5 linked regions of the Oryzias latipes genome follow. The protein of the gene in region 1 binds, or shares a complex with, the protein of each later gene. Links are inferred from orthologs where the notes say so. Each region holds a gene or a part of one and is shown in the gene's direction. Other genes may lie near its edges. The genes, in order: dab2ip, dcp1a, arhgef6, pak1 and map3k5.

What was found.
Region 2: dab2ip (region 1) and dcp1a share a complex: the UniProt entries of both Homo sapiens proteins name them as parts of the cytoplasmic complex. The link is inferred for Oryzias latipes from reciprocal best matches to the Homo sapiens genes DAB2IP and DCP1A.
Region 3: dab2ip (region 1) and arhgef6 share a complex: the UniProt entries of both Homo sapiens proteins name them as parts of the cytoplasmic complex. The link is inferred for Oryzias latipes from reciprocal best matches to the Homo sapiens genes DAB2IP and ARHGEF6.
Region 4: dab2ip (region 1) and pak1 share a complex: the UniProt entries of both Homo sapiens proteins name them as parts of the cytoplasmic complex. The link is inferred for Oryzias latipes from reciprocal best matches to the Homo sapiens genes DAB2IP and PAK1.
Region 5: dab2ip (region 1) and map3k5 share a complex: the UniProt entries of both Homo sapiens proteins name them as parts of the cytoplasmic complex. The link is inferred for Oryzias latipes from reciprocal best matches to the Homo sapiens genes DAB2IP and MAP3K5.

What each region holds. Positions count from the first base shown.
Region 1 is NC_019870.2:6,391,306-6,394,819, reverse strand, and holds part of dab2ip (disabled homolog 2-interacting protein), read left to right. Parts: intron 1-1,899; coding exon 1,900-2,044; exon of another isoform or gene 2,045-2,115; intron 2,116-3,249; coding exon 3,250-3,486; intron 3,487-3,514. UniProt on the Homo sapiens protein: Functions as a scaffold protein implicated in the regulation of a large spectrum of both general and specialized signaling pathways.
Region 2 is NC_019865.2:7,301,744-7,306,040, forward strand, and holds the start of dcp1a (mRNA-decapping enzyme 1A), read left to right. Parts: upstream 1-1,493; 5' UTR 1,494-1,532; coding exon 1,533-1,664; intron 1,665-1,958; coding exon 1,959-1,999; intron 2,000-2,486; coding exon 2,487-2,614; intron 2,615-4,297. UniProt on the Homo sapiens protein: Necessary for the degradation of mRNAs, both in normal mRNA turnover and in nonsense-mediated mRNA decay. Removes the 7-methyl guanine cap structure from mRNA molecules, yielding a 5'-phosphorylated mRNA fragment and 7m-GDP.
Region 3 is NC_019868.2:11,013,371-11,016,884, forward strand, and holds part of arhgef6 (rho guanine nucleotide exchange factor 6), read left to right. Parts: coding exon 1-28; intron 29-2,565; coding exon 2,566-2,688; intron 2,689-3,514. UniProt on the Homo sapiens protein: Acts as a RAC1 guanine nucleotide exchange factor (GEF).
Region 4 is NC_019871.2:4,499,024-4,503,016, forward strand, and holds the start of pak1 (serine/threonine-protein kinase PAK 1), read left to right. Parts: upstream 1-1,193; 5' UTR 1,194-1,390; intron 1,391-3,993. UniProt on the Homo sapiens protein: Protein kinase involved in intracellular signaling pathways downstream of integrins and receptor-type kinases that plays an important role in cytoskeleton dynamics, in cell adhesion, migration, proliferation, apoptosis, mitosis, and in vesicle-mediated transport processes.
Region 5 is NC_019882.2:18,794,201-18,798,162, reverse strand, and holds the start of map3k5 (mitogen-activated protein kinase kinase kinase 5), read left to right. Parts: upstream 1-1,149; 5' UTR 1,150-1,502; coding exon 1,503-1,872; intron 1,873-3,216; exon of another isoform or gene 3,217-3,543; intron 3,544-3,866; exon of another isoform or gene 3,867-3,962. UniProt on the Homo sapiens protein: Serine/threonine kinase which acts as an essential component of the MAP kinase signal transduction pathway. Plays an important role in the cascades of cellular responses evoked by changes in the environment.

The sequences.
Region 1 (3,514 bases):
ACTGCACGGTCTTTTAGAGGTTTGGGCAGCGGCGGCACAACTCTTTGTCTCACGGGCCTCAAAGAGTTCTAAAATTTGACAAAAGGGCTCGACCAAAAGCAGATCAGAGAAAGAAATGACATGGAATCTGAACGAAAATGTGCTTTTATTGTGATTGAAAATAAATGTATATATTTTAAAACAGCACATTTTAGGGGTTTTATTTCCAAACTGTGGCTTTTGTTCTTATTTTAGTGCCAATTACAGTTATAGGTTGATGTCCATCAGGGAAAAATGCAACGTTGGAGAAATGCTGCGTTCATGAAATAATTGAAAAAAATGAAGGTCCGACATGAACATTAAAAAAAAAACAGGAAATCTTTCAACACACTATAAATTTAGAAGAACTTTCTTACGGAAGAGGATTAGACCCATGGAGAAGAAAAAAAATTCTCTATGGCCCTAATCCATATAAAAATGCTGACTTTTTTCTCAGAATTCTGAGATTTAAGTCAGATTTTTCTATGCCCTGTTTTTTTTTCTTTCTCCATGGCCTTAATCCCCTTCCGCACTTTCTGCACCTAAGCAAAGGTCGGATTTATTGGTGGCGCACCGTCTATGGGGACACACCAGAAAATAAAACATTGATGAGTGTTATCAATATGATTTATTCCAGTTTGGAATAATAATCCAGATTAAATAGTTTTTGGGCCACAAACGGCCCCTGGGCCATGACGCTGTGTAAACATTGTATGCTAACACATTTTGGGTAGCGGCAACTAACAGCACTCAAAAAAAGAAAAAGAAAAAAGAAATAAAAAAAGAATAAAAACCAGTAGCCAGATTTGACCCTGTGGGTTTTTCAGGGTAAAAGTGAGATTTTAGCAGCTGCAGAATGATCCGTTTTAGCTGTGAACTCAATTCTTTAGCAACATTTTCTGCTTTTGTCTTTGCTGTCACTCTGTTTGTTTACCTTCTTCTGATAATGACACGATGAATAATCTACACAGCAGCTAAAATCTTCTTCAATTTAAGGCGGCTTTAGGTTTCCTCCTGCCATTCAACAGGAGTTTTGAAGAAATATGGTTCTAGAGAGGAAATTAGAACTTTCCGCACAGTTTGTCTTTTTTGTTTTTTAAAGAAAGGTTGTAACTGTTGACGTGTCAAAAAAGTAAAGACATTTTATCTGTTTTCCTCAGAGAAGCGGAACGTTTCTCAAGTTGAAGAAGATGCCTCAGGCTGTCGACTAAAAGGCAGCCTGCCTGTTAGAGGAGAGAAAAACCCTTGGCTCTTTGATACTCTATATGTTAAACAAATAAAAAAGAGATTCTGACCGCTTCAAAAACAAAGATGGTGTGATCATCTTAGACACTGTTTTAGTATTTCAAAGTGTTAAACACTAAAAAATATTGCTTTGGTTTATCTCTTCTGTATGACACAGAAATATGAAGCTGACTTTTCTCATTTTTAACCCACATAATAACCTTTTTTTGAAGTGTAACTTGATTATCAGATAATTAAAATAAGTTTAATGTGTAAAGATTTCACCCCAGCTCAACCTTGTTCAGAACTATAGTCTATTATTCAGTTTCTAAATAAAGATAGCTGCTTTAAAAAGCACTCAGTACTTTTTTTTTGTCTCTGCTGCAAGCTTGACTGCGCAGTTCTCGGTGCATGCAGACCTCAGCATTAATGTAACAAAACATTGTTTAAAGGTAAACAACTTAAATAATGACATTTCTGCTCTTTGGACAGACATTTCTCCTTTAGATTAGATCAGCCTGATTTCCTTCACGGGTCACAGAGGTCCACTTGTTGTCACTTCATGACTTTCATTCACCTTCATTGGTACTTCTCCGACAAATGAACAAAGCACTTTTGTTTTGCTTTTATTATTGTCTTTATTTTTATTTTCCTCAGGTGAGTTCATTAAAGCTCTGTACGAGTCGGATGAGAACTGTGAGGTGGATCCTTCCAAGTGTTCCTCCAGTGACCTGCCGGATCATCAGAGCAACCTGAAGATGTGCTGCGAGCTGGCCTTCTGCAAAATCATCAAGTCCTACTGGTGAATGCTGCCGCCTGTTCGTGACGTGCTGGTTCTGATCTGTCTGCTCAGGCACATTTTTACTCAGGACTCTGTGTGAATTCAGATAAAAACTCTTTTAAAAACACACTTAAACTCCATGACTGGCTCTTGTACGTCTAAAAAAAACAGGATTTCTGTTTACTTGCAAATGAACCCTGGTGTGAGTGCAGACAGTTGTCCAAACAAACGCCCGTATCCCACCCGCTTCACCCACTACACCCTTACTTTCCCTTGAGTGTTGTATAAGTGACAACCTGTCCCCTGGCTGCTTCCCCATTGGGAAAAAAAATTCAGTTACATTTTTGTTCTACTGGCGGTCCACGACCTGTGTGCCCCGTACAGTTTTACACAGTTTTCACCCACAAACAGTCCATAACATAACAAACAATTTGCCACTAGATACAACAACCATCCACACATCCCTGAATTTCTATTATACTTGTACGGCTGGTTATAACTTCGTTAAGGCCCAAAGCCCTGATTCATCCAGGCACACACACACACACATTCACACACTGATGGCAGGAGGATTTCCATGCAAGGTGCTAACCAAGAGCACCATGGGACACTATCACACAGCACGCCCGTAGGAATAATTGTGCATGAACATGTTTGCTCTACGGGCTCACCCGCAGGTTGACAACCTTGCAATTTTTTTGCCTTTACAGATTTATCCATTTTTGCCCACAGACAGCCCGTATCCACCTGTAAGGGCAGTTGTGACGAAAGCTTAAGCAGATGAAGCAGAAGTTCAATGTGTGATACTCTGGCTGTTATTGGCCACTTTTTTGGGCTTTTTTTTTTTCTTTTTGCTCCGATTGTTTATAGACAATCAATACTGCCCCCAAATGGCCACCTGTTATAAATTTGTCAACATTTATGTGGTTTGGTAGATTTACTGTGAAAGTATGAAAGTATTTTTGGATTTCTCACTCGATCACTGTAAATCAAGTCTACGGGATTGTCCTGATGTGAAAGCACCACTAAAGTGGTTCATATCAGAGGTTTTTCCTGTGTTTACGGTATAATTTTGTGTTTTACTTTTTTTCTTTTTCTGAGATTGACTGAAGTTTATGTAAGATAAATTGTTGCTAAAGTTAAAGACAGATTTCCCAACCATTTCAGACCAATAACAAATGACCAAAGAGATCAAATAAAGGCCTTACTTTTTTTTTTTTTTCCAGCTTTTTTCCCCGTGAATTAAAGGAGGTTTTTGCGTCATGGCGGCAGGAATGTAGCAGCCGCGGTCGGCCGGACATCAGCGAGCGTCTGATCAGCGCCTCCTTGTTCCTGCGCTTCCTCTGTCCGGCCATCATGTCGCCCTCGCTCTTTAACTTGACGCAGGAGTACCCTGACGACCGCACCGCTCGGACACTCACGCTCATCGCCAAAGTCACGCAGAACTTGGCCAACTTCACAAAGTGAGTTGGGTTTCATAGCGGTGAGTCT
Region 2 (4,297 bases), on another chromosome or scaffold:
TGATCAAGTGTTTCTATATTTATGTCACAGAAAGAACAGTTATTTTCTGGAAAACCAAAATGTATACGTAGTAGTTCTTTGCACGGATAGACTGCATTCTTACATCAAAATCACATTTTAGGAGGAATTCAATGCCCCCCAGATGGGAGAAAAAGTTTGAAGGAATATGAAACAAAATATTTATTTCATTTTGCAGAAAAGCCCTAAGCCAATTTATTTTAATCATACTATTCAAACTTTCAAAGTCTATGGCTTTAAATCCACCTTCACTGTAATCCTGAATTATTATTCATTTTTTATGTAATGAGTTTTGTTTTTCCAGATGAAGTTAAAATTGCCCTGGTTTCTTGTTTTCCTTGCAGATTTAGGAATTGGGAGTGAATATGCTGGATAAATGAATCTGGATAAACAATCTAATTTAGTGAGAAACATTCTGCCCAGAATAGAAATGTCACGCTGTGACCACATGTTTAAATTTACTTACAATTCACACTTGCTGAGATTTAGTTTTAAACCAGTTGCTTTAGAATAGGAATCTGCGGTTTGAAAGATCTCCGGTATTTGATGACTCTCCTTCATGAATACGGCCGTGTCGTCTGCCAGCTTAGTAATGGCTAACTGTTCTCCCAGGACATTGAGTTTACAGAAACCAGAGTTTGTTATAAGTATTGATAACATTTCTGTTGCTGTTATAAAAAGCAACGGTGAAAATTGGACAGCCTTGTTTAATTCTTTTGTTAATTAAAAATCTGGGAGAAATGCCATTCGGTGAAATAACTACACTGTTCGTATCGTTATAGATTGTTTTAACAAAACTTATGAAATTAGGTCCAAATCAAAATAATTCTAACTAAAACGTTTATCCAGAACAGATTTAAATTAAACATTGAGACACTTTGTAGCTTTGGTTGTGATTCCCCTGAAACAGTTATCCATCTTTTTTGGTATTGTCCCAAAGTTAAGGTGTTTTGGCAGAAGATGTGTGATTTTATTAATGATAAAATTGATTCTTGTTTTGTCTTGTTTTGGAAAGATGTCTTGTTGGGTCTAATATAAAAAAATATGCAAAAGGACTCTTGTTTACTTCTAAATCTTTTACTCATTTTGGCAAAATTCCATGTTCATAAATGTACATTTTCAGGTAGAAAACCCTGTTTCACTGTATTCTTTTCTAAATTAAATCAGTATATCAACAGTATTCGAAATTCAGAGAAGCAAAAAGCAATCAGAACATTGTCTGTATGTGATAGATTCAGTATTTTTTCGTAGAGTTTAACCCCCTGGCTTATAACTATTTCTAGTCTTGTTCTTCTGTTTGTTACAGAAGTGTATTTGATATTTGCAGTTGTGGTTTTTTTTTCATACCTAAAAGTACATTTTTGTAAAATGGCATAATGTGCAATAAAGTTGAGCTTTAAAAAAAAATAGTGGAAGTGGGGAACTATTTTTGAGCGCCGCCACTTCCGGGGACAAGCGAAGTTGAAAGTGTTTCAAAAAAATTCGTCCGTGTAGGTACAACAGACCGATCCAAGATGGAAACTGTAAGTGCGGGACATATGATGAGCTTAGCAGCTCTTCAAAGACAAGACCCCTATATAAACAAATTACTAGATGTAACTGGTCAAGTTGCACTTTACAACTTTAATTCTAAAGTAAACGAGTGGGTAAGTTCATTAGTTACTTTATGATTTTCTGTGATTCGAATGAGGCTTTATCATCATGTTTACTTAGCTCATGGTGCTAGCCCTCGTTAATCAAAACGCGACAGTAGCACTATGTTCACTAAAGCTTTACCGTACGTGGACCTTTATGCTTCGTTATTTTAGCTAATGCTATTTCTAGTCCTTTCAATTTTTGTATTTTTAAATGTATTTCCTTTAGTTAAACTATTGTTCACAGATTCGGCAGCACCTTTTCAGAACATGTTTTGACTTGTAATGTTATTTTAAACATTTTAGGAGAAGACCGACATCGAAGGCACTCTGTTTGTTTATGCCAGGTAAGATTAGCACTTGAACTCGTAATTTGATTGTTTACTTCATCATTGGGTGCTCTGCGCATGTGCACAGGCCACCGTAGGCGTATTTGTAAACAAATCGAGAAAACTTGCCCCAGCCTAGATTTTTATGTTTACAGTACAAAAAATGAATTTTGCTCATCAAACAATTTGCCAAGAAAACTGTACATTTATGATTTAATATAACTGACTTTTTTTTGCCTCAGAAATTTTTAAATCAAGTCATGTGCATTTATTTTCTGTCTTTTTTAGAAAATCATTAGGAAAATTAACAATAAAACTTGTTTTTAAAAATTGCCAGATTATATTTACCTTTAAACAAAGAATTGTAAAAACTAGAAATGTTTTTATCAATTTTGAAATATCCAACATTTCACTGTCATAAAAGTTTTTTTCAAGTGTTTTTTAATTGCTTTGTCAACAGTAAACAATGAAGCATTATCAACAGAGTGATGTTTGTTCCTTTTAGGTCTGCTTCTCCTTATCATGGCTTCACCATCATGAACAGATTAAGTACAGTCAACCTTGTGGAGCCTATTAACAAAGACCTGGAATTCCAACTGCAGGATCCTTTCTTGCTCTACAAGAATGGCAACTGTAAGTGGTTTGAATAAAAATCCTCATCAAAGTATGGAAGAGTTGTAATCATTAATTTAATTCAAAAGTGCTTTATAATGATGTTCTATTTAAGTAGATTTCAAGGAATAGTGATCTTTTGAAGCTACAAGGTATTCATTAAAACCAGGATGAGGCTGCCCACATGATTATAGAGTGAAACGTCTTGAGTTGAGATGAAGACATGCTGATTTAATGCTTAGATCACATTTTTTGTTGAAAATAGGAAGTCGTAAAAATTTCTGACCACATTGTCGATACAAAATTAGAATAAAGCACAATTCACTGAGTAATCCAGGACATTTTTGCCAAAGTAAAATGGAAATTTTCAAGTTAACTCTTGTTTTTTAAATACGCCGTTTTATTTGCAGCTTTTTTGTCCATTTCCTTTATTCTTTGTGAACCCACCTTAATGTATAAGTCATTGTAGTGCACCGCGGATTCACAAACTGTCAAAAGTGGCTGTCATACCTAGTTTGTGAACAATCTATTGTTCACAAATGCTCAAATAATTCTGACAGTACCTCTGAACATTCTGGATAAACACCTCCCCAGTGTTCGGTGGAACATCTCTTCTCCTTTTTGCTTGAACTCATGGTGACTTCTTGAAGCATTAAGCAGGAACACTTTGTCATTCATGGCCTACAGCGGCCTCGTAAACAAGCGCTTCCAGCTGGTTTTGCAACAGTTATCCTTCGCATTTGGGTCAAAAAGCAAAAAGAGTTCAAAGTTTCATTCATCAAACTTCTTCTGCTATAATTGTTTTAGTTTGCTGATTGTTCAATCCTGTAATTTCCTCCTGGAAAAATGGGTCAAATAGAAAAAAATTGCGCCATACTAGATCTTCAAAAAGTAGCTGACAGCACTTCCACCAAGATAATCAATGAGGAGTCTGAGCAGAAGTTTCATCAAAGCGATGAACAAAGAATTCGACTGCTTTCCCATTTGTTTGCTGATGAGAAAAGTTAGCATAGCCAAGGTTAAAGTCAAAGTGGATTGTTCTCCTTTGGGCTTTGGTTTTCCCAGCAGCCTGGCAGGTATGGAAGCCATGATGCAGTGTTTTGTTGGTGATCCAATATAGTCTGCTTCTCCAGTAGCTTCACTCAAGTCTTCGGGGCTTTTGTCATCGCTTACTTCCTTTCTGTCAGCTTTAGTTTCAAAAAGATAAAATGAAGAGCAGTTTTCTCAGGAAACATTAGCTGATAATGCTCCTTGAGTTGAGGTGAAGATACATCCGTCTTGGCAACTAAGCTTTTCTCTGCAAACGTTAGTCGAAGTGGTTTTTTTTTGTTTGTTTGTTTTTCCGTCGGTTGGTTTTCAGTCCCGTCTCACTCTGTTAGTTTATCCACTTGTTTGGAGAGAAAAATGTTTCTGCGCTTTTTCTCCTTTAGTGTAGGTTTGGCTTTGAAGGTGGAGATTCCAATTCTGATCTTGAAAGTCCTGCAAAAGAACAACCCACCCTCTGAAGGAGAAATGTCACCATCAAAAACGATCAGGATCCAAATATAATTCTCCAAATAAAGGGTTTAAATGTTTACGTTTCGCTCCTGTGAGTGGTGCAGAGCTCACTGCAAATGTGCTTGGATGTGGAGAATAGTGTTGCAGAGAAACACTTGGACACACCTGTTTACACCTCATCCTTTTCCCTTTGGACGCTGATGGTGC
Region 3 (3,514 bases), on another chromosome or scaffold:
TGTGCTCAGCTTTAGACGATTGTACAAAGTAAGTCATGTAGAAAAGAGCATATGAAATTAACAAATATTCTAGATTTGCATGAACTGCTGCAAAGGGTTGGGTATCACATGATTTCATTAAAAAAATGCCTGGTTAGATTTATTTATTGATTTTGATTCAATATTGATTTCTTTTTCAAAATTCCATTCAAAATATTACTAACAGTATTAATTCTTGCATTTAATGCTAACAGAAAGCAGTTCTTTTTGTTTAAAGACAATGGATTCATAGATTTGATGATTCAGTGAAGCTTTTTTAATTCAGGAGCTGATTGCTTTAGCAGAATGGGCAGGTGCAAAGACTGGAAAATAACAATAATTTCCATAAAGCAGGTCAGGAGGGAGAACCATAAAGTACTCCTAAACTTCCTTGTAGGTGACTGCATTAACTGTGAGCCTGATAAAATACAGTGCGTCCAGATTGTATATAAGGGTCAAAAATGTCATTCTTTGTTTTTTAATTACACTCATGGATTATATTATGTCCTGGGGCTCTTTGGATCACTGACATCAATGCCAGACACCTGTGATAATTAGTTTGCAAGGTGAGTTCAATTAAAGGAAAAACTACTAAATAAGGATGTTCCACATTATTAAGTAGACTGACATTTTCAATAAATATAGGAAAGAAAAAGGATCTCTGCTGCTGAAAAGCCTGAAATAGTTAAGTGCCTTAGACGAGGTATGAAGACTGAAGCGTGATCATCGTAATATTAGATTTGTGGCTGATTCGGAGCACAGAGGGGTTTGTAGAGATAAAGGCAGGATGATGACGCTTTCTGCCACACAAATGCATCCAATCAAGAGAGCACCTTCTAAAATATCATTACAAAACAGCAGCGATATATTTGAAGCTGCTGGTGTCTCTGGAGTCCCACAAACATCAGGGTGTAGGATCCTTCAGAGGCTTGTATTTAGATGTCAACCTTCTGATTGGCCACCCCATAAATAACACTAACAAGCGGAAATGGCTGCAGTGGTTAAAGACATACACGAAGAACAATTTTCAAACAGTCTTGTTCACTGATGAGTGCCATGCAACCCTGAATGGTCCAGATGGATGGAGTATTGGGTTGTTAGTATATGGCCACAATGTCCCAACAAGTCTGCATTGTCAGCAATAAAGTGGCAGAGTCATGTTTTGGGCTGGAATCATGTGGAGAGAGTTGGCCGGATCCTTTAGGGTCCCTGAAGGTTTGAAAATAACCTCTGAAGAGTAGGTGGAGGTTCTGACTGACCACCTTCTTCTGTGGTACAAAAAAAAGAACAGTGCTTTTCATAACAAAATCATCTTCACACATGATAATGCACCATCTCATGCTGCAATGAATACATCAGCATCATTGGCTGCTACTGAAAGAATAGGAGATGAACTGGTTGTGTGGCCCCCATCTTCCCCTGACCCCAACCCTATTGAGAACCTATGGAGCATCCTCAAGCAAACTATCTATGAGGGTGGGAGGCAGTTCACATCCAGACAGCAGCTCTGGGAGGCTATTCTGACATCCTGCAAAGAAATTCAAGCAGAAACTCTCCAAAAACTCACAAGTTCAATGGATGCAAGAATTGGGAAGATGCTACAAGATAAGGGGTCCTATGTTCAAATGTAACTTGACCTATTAAGATGTTTTTGATTGGAATAGCTTTTGGTTTAAGTAAATATGATTTCGTAATGCAAAAAATTCAACAAATTACCATTTTCAATTCTTTTGAATCTATCAAACGTTATGGAACTGTTGTGCGTAATAATGTGGAACAGTGCATTGAAAGAAACAAATACTGTTATCTTTAGGTTTGTTCAAAAACATTTAATATATACTCTAATGGTTAGTGACTTGAAAATTATGCTGATTCTCATTTGCATTGATAATTAAGAAAGATCCTAAAAAAATCCCATTTGAGTAATAATTTGGAACACACTGTACAGTTAATGGAGCAGCAGCAGTAGATGACAAGTATCATTCGAACATGGCTGACTGAGGAAACACTAAACCTCAGGAAAATTCTGTGCCCCTCTGCTGCTCTTCCAAATGATGGCTTTGGAATCCCAAGGAATGGTTTTGTTTCCTTTTCTCTTGAATTGAGGGATAAATCCTCGGTCTGTGGTTCATGAGTGGTTTGACGTGAGGACTGCAGCAGCTTAAGTCCATGTTGTGATGTACGTGTCCGTTGTGGCTCTCAAAGATCTAACAGCAGTCCAGTCCTCATGGAACTCACTGATCTACTGAATGAGCTTCATATTTATGTCAGGTTGTCCTTCCATTTAACTTCCCATTAATGTTTTTGGATAGGGCTCTCAGTGAACAGCCAGCTTCTTTTTGGTCTTACACCCCCTCATTTCCAAGTAACATTTTAGAGCCCAGGATTGTGTTTTGTTGATCCAGACAGACCCTTTTCAGGACAGGAAAGAAGTACTAGTATTTCAAACAAGTAAATTGATAGCATGACAGAATGTCGTTTTATGTTGTTTCCCAACCCTTTAATATTTCTCTACCTTGCCTTCTCGCCTTTTCTCTCAATGTGCAGAGTCCCAGAGGGGCAGCAGAGGGTGGCAGCCTGCTATTTGAACCTCATGCCTCAAATCAAGAACCTTTACCTAACCTACTGCTCCAGCCATCCCTCAGCTGTCTGCATCCTGACAGACCACAGGTAAGAACAAGACCCCCCATGAGGTCAGGTGACTTCACCTGGAAGAGACGTTTTCTGACGTTCAAATTTGCATCTGTAGTACTAGATTTTTGATTACTAAATCACATGTCTTAAATGAGATTGACTGGTTTTTGATCAATTAACAATTAACAAAAGTGTGTAAAATGTTCCAATAAACCTAATTAAAAGAATAAACTCAAGCAGTTTATAACATTCCAGTATTCCTTTTGTTAAAGGTGTTTAATCTTATTGATGTTTGAGGTTTGTAAGAACTAATTGTTGTCGTCTTGCCAGCCTGTAGTAACACTTCAGTTCACAAGGTGTCAGAGTGATGCTTTGTTGACATATTTCACGCTAAAGTTAGTTTATGCAGGTTCAGGACGTGAATAAAGTTTCCTTCAAATCCCTTCTCACTATTCTTAATGTTGATGTGAGTTTAGCTGTCAATACTGTGGGGAAAAAGATTCATATCAGTAATATTAGTGGAGCTGGTATGACGATTTTTAGCAATGTAGAGAATAATTGTCTGGGTCCTCATGCACACTCTTCAGAATGCACACAGGAAGTTGACTGTTGACAGGATATATAAAGTTGTGGTTATGTTAACAAGCAAAGCGAGGCTTTCTTTCACAGCGAGCGCGTCGCGTTTCAGTCGTAGCGTCCTTGTCATGTCACTTGTAATTTACCCAGTGCTGCCACGCCGCGTTGCTGCAGCATTCTGTTTGGTCGAAGCTGTGAGTTGTGGAAAAGCGTGCATGACACTGCTTTCAATGGAAGCTGGAGGAAAATTGTCATGTTATGTGAAATGATACGATTTCATGAGCAA
Region 4 (3,993 bases), on another chromosome or scaffold:
TGAGGTGGAACTAAACTAATTTATTTTTTAAAAAACTGGGATTTTTGCATCAAAACAGTCACTTGTCAAATACACTTAATGTTGATAAAATCAAAGTTTGAATTGGCGGTTTTAAATTGGTTAAAAACGACATAGTCATCACAGAAAAAAAAAAAACATGTATAGGATGACATGTAACCTAAAAGTCATTATAATAAAGCTCTGTCTGATTTTTTTCTTTCTATTTTTTTGTGTAGCACTTTGAGTCAAACGTGGAAGTTAATTGAAGATTTTAAAATAAATGCAATTGAAATCAACAAAATATGACCTCCCTTTATGTTATAGAAGAATAGAACAAAACCTTATTGATTCCACAAAAGGGGATATTACATACAAAGATCAATTACCAACAAGTAGTACTTGTATAAAAAGCTCAAGGCTTTCTAAGAGTACAACAAAGTACACATCTGTAACAGAAGACATTTACAAAAGTGGCAAACTTAGCAATCCTCACCTTGGTTAAAACGTTGAACAAGGTTTCATTGGTCCACTTGACGGAATCAATGTCAAGAATCCAAATGTTTAGATAGGCATTCAAAACCTGAAATTGCATTAAAATGTTAATGAAATGTATTTTACATACATTATATACATTATTTTTACTTGGAATATAAACTCAATTTATTGAATGTACACATTTGTTACTTTCTATAGGAAAAAAGGATTGTTTTCTGTTCTTTAATGTTTTTTTGAGAGAAATGTTCACTCCTCACCTTACGGACGAGCAATTTCATTAAAAAATTATGTCATCTGAGTTTTAAAAATTATATCTGTTTCTTTCTTATTGACTTAATAATCTAAAATAAATTATTTTAAAGGAGAGTTCTCTCTCACTGTGAAGCTCATCTAAATAACGACGTCACCGCTGTGTGTTTGAAATATCCTTTTTTTCTGTAGTTAATATTTCCATAACATGGTTACATGAAGGCAACACGCAGGGACAACCCATACGTGAGTGTCTACAAATGCGCACTTTTTATTTGTTACGTGAATGCAGCATAGGTCGTTCGGTTTTGCCGGCGAGTCGGGACCCGCCCCGAGAGTTTAGACGGACATCTTTGTCAGCCAATAGAAATGAGGCAGTGTGGACGACCAACCAATGGCGTGGCCGAACGCTCCGGTGAGGAGGCGGGACTTTGTATGCAGCAGACTTCTCTGCGCTTGGCTAACAATAGCCTGGGCTCGGCAAGTTTTATAGCTAAAAAAAAAATCAGGCGAGGGCGGCAGAGCGGAGCAGGTCTGAGCCTCCGGAGGAGCAGGACTTTTCGGAATACATGAGACGCTGTGAGCCGGCGGAGGAAAAACACTCAAACCGACAGCAACGACATTTGAATTTGCTGTCAGACATTTGGTGAGCGGAGCTTTTTTTCCCTACTTTATTTCAGCAGGTTTTCCCAGCTGATGGGCTGCGTTGCCGGCCAGCATGGTGGTGCGCTGCGTGTGTGGATGAAGGAGGGAGCTGGTGGGAAATGTGCTGGAAAGACGCTGTTATCTTTGTTTCCCCCTCAACATAACCCCCATCAACGTGCGCTGCTTGGTGGACTTTTATAGTCAGGATTTTCCAGCCATAGGCGTTGGCGGGTTGATTATTATTTTATTAAACCAGCTGCTTCCCAAATGACTGGACGACGTGGGAAATGATAGCAGCACAGCAGGCAGAATGAATGAAGATCTGCCACTTTTCTCTCAGGGAATTGAACCTGTTTACCAGTTCATACATGCATTTAAGAAAAAAAGTGTCTCAATTTTCTTTTCTTTATTTGCATTTTAATCTTACTTTAGCTGCTCAGCACAGAAATCTACTAAATGTTTGGTCAAAGTTGATGCATCAAACCCCCTTATAGCTGTTTTCCCATCACCTGCAGTACAATCATTGATTTCTGTAAACGTGACTTTTCTGATTAGAGCCCTGCAAGCTGCTAGAAACGCTCAGAAGCTGGAGTTTCCACGTGGATCAGCAGAAACCGCTGCACTGTTCTTCATCCTGAGGTTTTCAGCTGCGTCCACCAACAGCTTATGCCAAAGCAATCTATGTGGATATGAGTGCAGCTCTACTTTGCCGTATTCAAGTCAAGTCCCCCCTCCCATCATCTGTTCAGCTATTTTCAAAGCATTCCCAACAGTTAAAAAAAACCCTCATGATTGTGATATTTTTAGCAAAAAAACCCAACAAAAAACAAAACTTGTGTCGCCTAAAACCCCGCCCACCCTTCCCATCACTGAGAGCTCTCTGTTTATTTCTCTTTTTGTGTTTGCTGTGGTTGAGTGGTCCAAATCCCATGTTAGTGAAGATTCATAGTAACTTCATGGAACAAAACAAAAAAGACACCAAAACTTAAGTTACATAATTATTTTTTTTTATCGTATTCCTGAAAATGGGGAAAACATAATGACTTTTTACACAACAAACCACTTTACTGTATTAAAAAAAGTGTTTTTTGTAATAATATTAAACATCAGCCATGTGCATAAATGCAAATCTCTTCCAACTTTTATGTCCTAATTTTTTTGTAGACTAAAATAGACATTTATGGAAGCGGTTACCATGGAAACCTGGGTGTGGCAAAAGGAGAGGCTCATTGGCTTGCATGGGGAATGCCCTCCCCTCCATTTGTCACTTTGACACCTTGTGACAGCAGGACAGAGGGCGGCGAAGGCGGGCGGGGGTTAATGACCCATTTGGCCCCTGCGGTTTCGGCCGGGCGTCTCTCCACGGAGGCCAGGACGGTGGAGTTCACGTGGACGCGGCCGCGCGCACGTGTGTTTTCCGCGTCTGCTGCGTCTCACCTGTTATGGAAGTTATTTTTAACCACGGGGCAGTTTGTTTGGGATCTGAGTCGTGTAGAGATGTGGACCAACAAAACGGGTTGCCATGGATACGGCAAGAGTGAAAGATGCAATGTGACTTTTTTTTTTTTTTTGGAGTTGTCTAATGAAAAGAAGATAGAAGGACTTTACCTACTTACTCGTAAACATTTGTTTTATGGAATACAGTGAAATGTGCAATGAGCCACTCTCGTCTCAGAAATTAAGAAACGGACGCTGTAAATACTATTTGGAATGTTCTCCTGTTCTACGAAACAAAAATTCACTAATGTCAGCAAGTGGAGGCGGCAAGCCCGCCCCCTCTCCCCCTCTCTGTTGCTGAGGACTTGAAGCAGGGAGTTTGTGGCGCCCCCAGCGTGATTTTTCTACATCACAAATACTCAGAAATGCAATTTTTAAGCCTAATGTACTTTATCAATACGCTCTATTGTCCAAAAAAGTACCTCAAGAACATGTTAAAAGCACAATTTTTGATCGTAGTGGGTCTTTAAAAGAAAAAGGACACTAAAGCTAGTTTGGAGGGTTAGTACGCTAAACGAAACGTCGCTCCAGCTTGGAGCTTTTAAGGTGCAGGTAGTGAGGTTGGATTCCTGACACATAGGCTTCTCTGTTTTCAGTCTCATGATTCCCCAAGAGCTACAGCCAGATGATGACTAATCAAACACAGAGTCGTCGGTGTTTGTGGAGTCACCACGCTGCTCCGGCTGCTTTAAAGACCTCTGAATACCAGAAACCGTGAAATCAAATCTTCCCCATCGCAGATATTTGTCTTTGCCGGGTGGGCGTTCAAACACCACACTGGCATGAATAGAGAGACTGGCAGTTGAGCGGCCGAAAAGGCTGCCAGCAGCTGAATAATGGATAGACTGTTTGCCTGCAAGGCTGCGGCGGCGGCTGAGCTGCACGGCGTCTAGACCAACCCCGACTCCGGCTCTCTGAAACAAGCTGTCTGGCTGGATGGGGATGAAAGGCGCGACTCCGTTTTTAAGCTTGTAATCCACTTTACTGATGTGACGTCAGATAAAAGGAGAAGTTAGGAAGCGCTTTGGAGCGCGGCACCAAAAAGATAGGCCAGATAGTTTTGGTTTGATCTCGGGTGGCGCTGAAGTTCTGCATAAGGAGGTAGAG
Region 5 (3,962 bases), on another chromosome or scaffold:
TGGATGGATGGATGGATGGATGGATGGGTGGGTGGACAGGTGGATGGATGGATGGGTGGCTGGATGGATGGGTGGATGGATGGATGGGTGGGTGGACAGGTGGATGGATGGATGGGTGGGTGGACAGGTGGATGGATGGGTGGATGGATGGATGGATGGATGGATGGGTGGATGGATGGATGGGTGGCTGGATGGATGGATGGATGGGTGGACAGGTGGATGGATGGATGGATGGATGGGTGGATGGATGGGTGGATGGATGGGTGGGTGGGTGGATGGATGGGTGGATGGATGGATGGGTGGCTGGATGGATGGATGGATGGGTGGACAGGTGGATGGATGGATGGGTGGCTGGATGGATGGATGGGTGGATGGATGGATGGGTGGGTGGACAGGTGGATGGATGGATGGATGGATGGATGGATGGGTGGATGGATGGATGGGTGGGTGGACAGGTGGATGGATGGATGGATGGGTGGATGGATGGATGGATGGATGGGTGGATGGATGGATGGGTGGGTGGACAGGTGGATGGGTGGATGGATGGATGGATGGATGGATGGGTGGATGGATGGATGGATGGGTGGATGGATGGATGGATGGATGGGTGGACAGGTGGATGGATGGGTGGGTAGGTCTGTGGATGGATGGGTGGAATCCTCTTTTTTCTTTAATCTTCTAAAAGTTAAAGTGTCCTTAAGTGCTGAGAAACACTTTATTTATTGTTATTCCCTAAATGATTTGTCTGAAAGTTCAGTTTCTTTAAAGTTGGTTGGAGATGATTCTGCGCCTGCGCTCTCTGTCTGGGCACACGTGTAACAGCGGCATGTGTCCACGGGGAGGCGTAGTGACGCAAGAGACAAGTGGGGGCAGCAGGCGTGACTGAAGTGAAGTCTTGTTTGTTTTTGTGAATTCCTGAACCTGCTGGACCGGTCGGTTTCGTTAAACACGAACCTCCTGTCGAACCTGACGCCATCAAAGAGCGACGTGACCGCGGAGATCAAACAGCCACCGCTCTGTCACGTCTGACAGGTGATTGAATCTGAAGCGAGGAATTGGATTAAGTTTTGATGTGCGTCCATCAAACGTGACGTCCCCGCCCCGCGCAAACAAACAGAAGCGGTGTGGAGGGAGGTGCACGCGCATGGCAGTCGCGTCACTGCGGCTGCGCGCCTCACTTTTCCTTTTGACAGCTGACGGCGCCGCCGCGGGGCTTATCAGAGTTTGGCTCGCGCGCGCGGCTGCACTACTGTTGCACAACTTAGCAGAAGTGCTGCCCCCTCAAACGGCATGCGCGACTTCCGCGGCTCCTCCTCAAGCCGAACCCACCGGACTCCGCTGTGACTCGGCTGCAGGCGCGCGTGTTTCTGGCGATGCGAAGCCGCGCCTCTGCTTTCCGCCTGCAGACGGGCCGCCGCGCGAGCAGCCGCCGCGCGTAACGCCGGCGCTCCATGGAGGAGTCGCGGCGATCCGAGCTTTAAGAGCGCGAGACTGACACTGAAATGGAGCAGGACGGGATTTCCTTACCGGTGCCCTGCGTGGGCGCCGTCAGCGGGGAGGCGTCCGGCGGGATCCCCGCCGCCGGGACTTTCTGGCAGGACTCGCTGGTCCCGGGCGGCGAGCACAGCCCGACCCCCCGGGACTGCGCGGACGGCGGGGGCTTACTGTCCACCGGCAAGGCGGGCAAAAGCAGGCCGGTGACGGTGGCGTACGTGGTGAACGGGGAGGCGAGCCAGCAGAGCAACGCGGAGAACATGGCACTGCAGTGCCTGAAGGACGCCTGCGAGACGGCGGGCAGCAAACTGGACACCGTCAACTTCGGGAAGCTGGACTTTGGGGAGACCGCGGTGCTGGACCGGTTCTATAACGCAGGTGAGAGCATCCGCCAGTCCTGCTGGAGAAGTCTCACTGCCTCCCACACAAACAAACAAACATCAGCTGCCACTATGCAGGTGGGGGGGTCGCTTTCAGAACTCCTCTCTTTCTGCTGAGTCATGGTTTGGGCCATGAGGTTGAACTTTCCACTAACATTTTCTGTGACTCTCCGCCTGTGTCCACGCCGCCCTTCTAGTTCAGGAGGAGAAAGGAGCCCGTGTTTACATCCTTTTAAAGAACCGAGATGACGTCATTAAAAGTGAAGACTTCATGAACTCCATCCAGACTAGACAGAGGAAGAAATCAGTCAAATTAATCGATAAGTTTAATATTTTAAAGATGATTTTGAAGCAATTTTTTTAGAGAAAAAATTATGAAAGTGACTTTTTAGGAGATTAAAATTGTAAAAATAAATAAAACAACATTTAGATTTAATTAAAACTTTGATTTCACATTTTTAGTTGAAGGTAAATATTATTTTAGTGTAACTTTTTTATTAGTTAAAAAATTCTGCCTTTTTTCTATTTAAAAGTCAACTTTCTATTCATTGAAACCATTTAAAGTCCCTCTCTGATCATCTTTTGATCTAATGTCCAAGCATTTTAATCATGATGATGCAGTTTTTAGCCAAAATCCTAAAACCTGTGTCATTTCCTCGGACTGTTTGAGGCGTGTCATAGAAAATTCACCTCTGCATTGAGGGCGGGACTTTTGGGGCAGAGCCACCCCAGAACCTCTTACCCTTCCCGTTGCTGAGAGCTCTCTGTTTACATGCTCTCCCGCTATCCTACAGTCCCTCACCCCCCCAACATAACATTATCAGTGCAACAGGAAAGGTGAGCAATACTGGGACTACTGGAAAAACAACAACAACCAATTATGGCAACAACAGCAAATAGCAGATATTCATTCTATTATTGTTATGTATTTCGGCAATATGATTTGTCTCCAAGATGAAATGTCTTTTCTTGTTTTCCTGTTTTGTTGAATAACTTTCTCCCAAAAGTGCGACTTATATGTTTTTTTTCTTTATTCTGCAAACGCCACAATCCCCCCTTTTCATCGTAGTGGGTCTTAAAAAGCGCCTGAGCTTCGTGACAGCGCGGCGTCTTTTACTGGAGTTTGATGTTTTCCCTCAAAGAGAGTAAAAGATCAAACTCTGAAAACATTATTGCTGTACTGTAGTGCCTCTACCCCCTGATGTTTCTGTCAGCTTCCAGCATCGTGCTGCAAACACGCCTCTCTTGGATGAAAACTAATGTGGGGAAATTTGGGTAAAATCGCTTGATAATCCCTAAACAATGACATTACAAGAAATGTTGGTACAAAAAAAGGCAAGAGGACTGGAACAGTTTTGCTTTATTTGTTGTGCAAACACAAGACGTTCCCTGGATTTGGTCTTTTTTTTCTCAGAAATACCTTTGGATGTTCTCACAGTACACCAGGGAGAACTATGGTATTTTCCCAGAATACCATGTTGACTTGGGGCGCTCATCCTCTTCTTATGCAAGAGCAGCAGCAGACGTGGGAATAAAAACAAGGCCTCGGGAGTTCAGAGGCTGGAGGGCTCCTCTTGCTAGATTCAACCGGTGGCGGCGGCGGCTCCTGCTCGCCGCTCTCTGGCCTCATCACATGACCCTGACGGCTGCAGATCCACAAACATTTGTGCTGCTAGTAGCTAGAAATATTAATTAAAAAAATATATATATCATCACCATCCGCACAAACACGTCTTTAGAGACAAACTGCTGTGATTATTAGCATCTTTATTTATACACAACGTGGTTAAATTGTTGTTGATCTTTGAAAAATATGCTGCTAATGTGTACATTAGCGTTCTTCCAGTTGCATTCCATGCTGCTACTTCGTCTTTCCTCTAACCCCTTAACCCCCAGTTCTATTAAAACGTCTACGTAAACGCACATATATGCGTGTTTCAGGCTTCCAGATCCAAAAGAGAAATGAAACACATTTAAATTGATGTGAAGCACCTGAAATGTGTCTATCTTCAGTTGGAATCTCTCCCTCTGGGGCGGCTGCGGTTCAGCCACCGCTGCTCTGGATGGATGGGGGCCTGCATCGCCGCT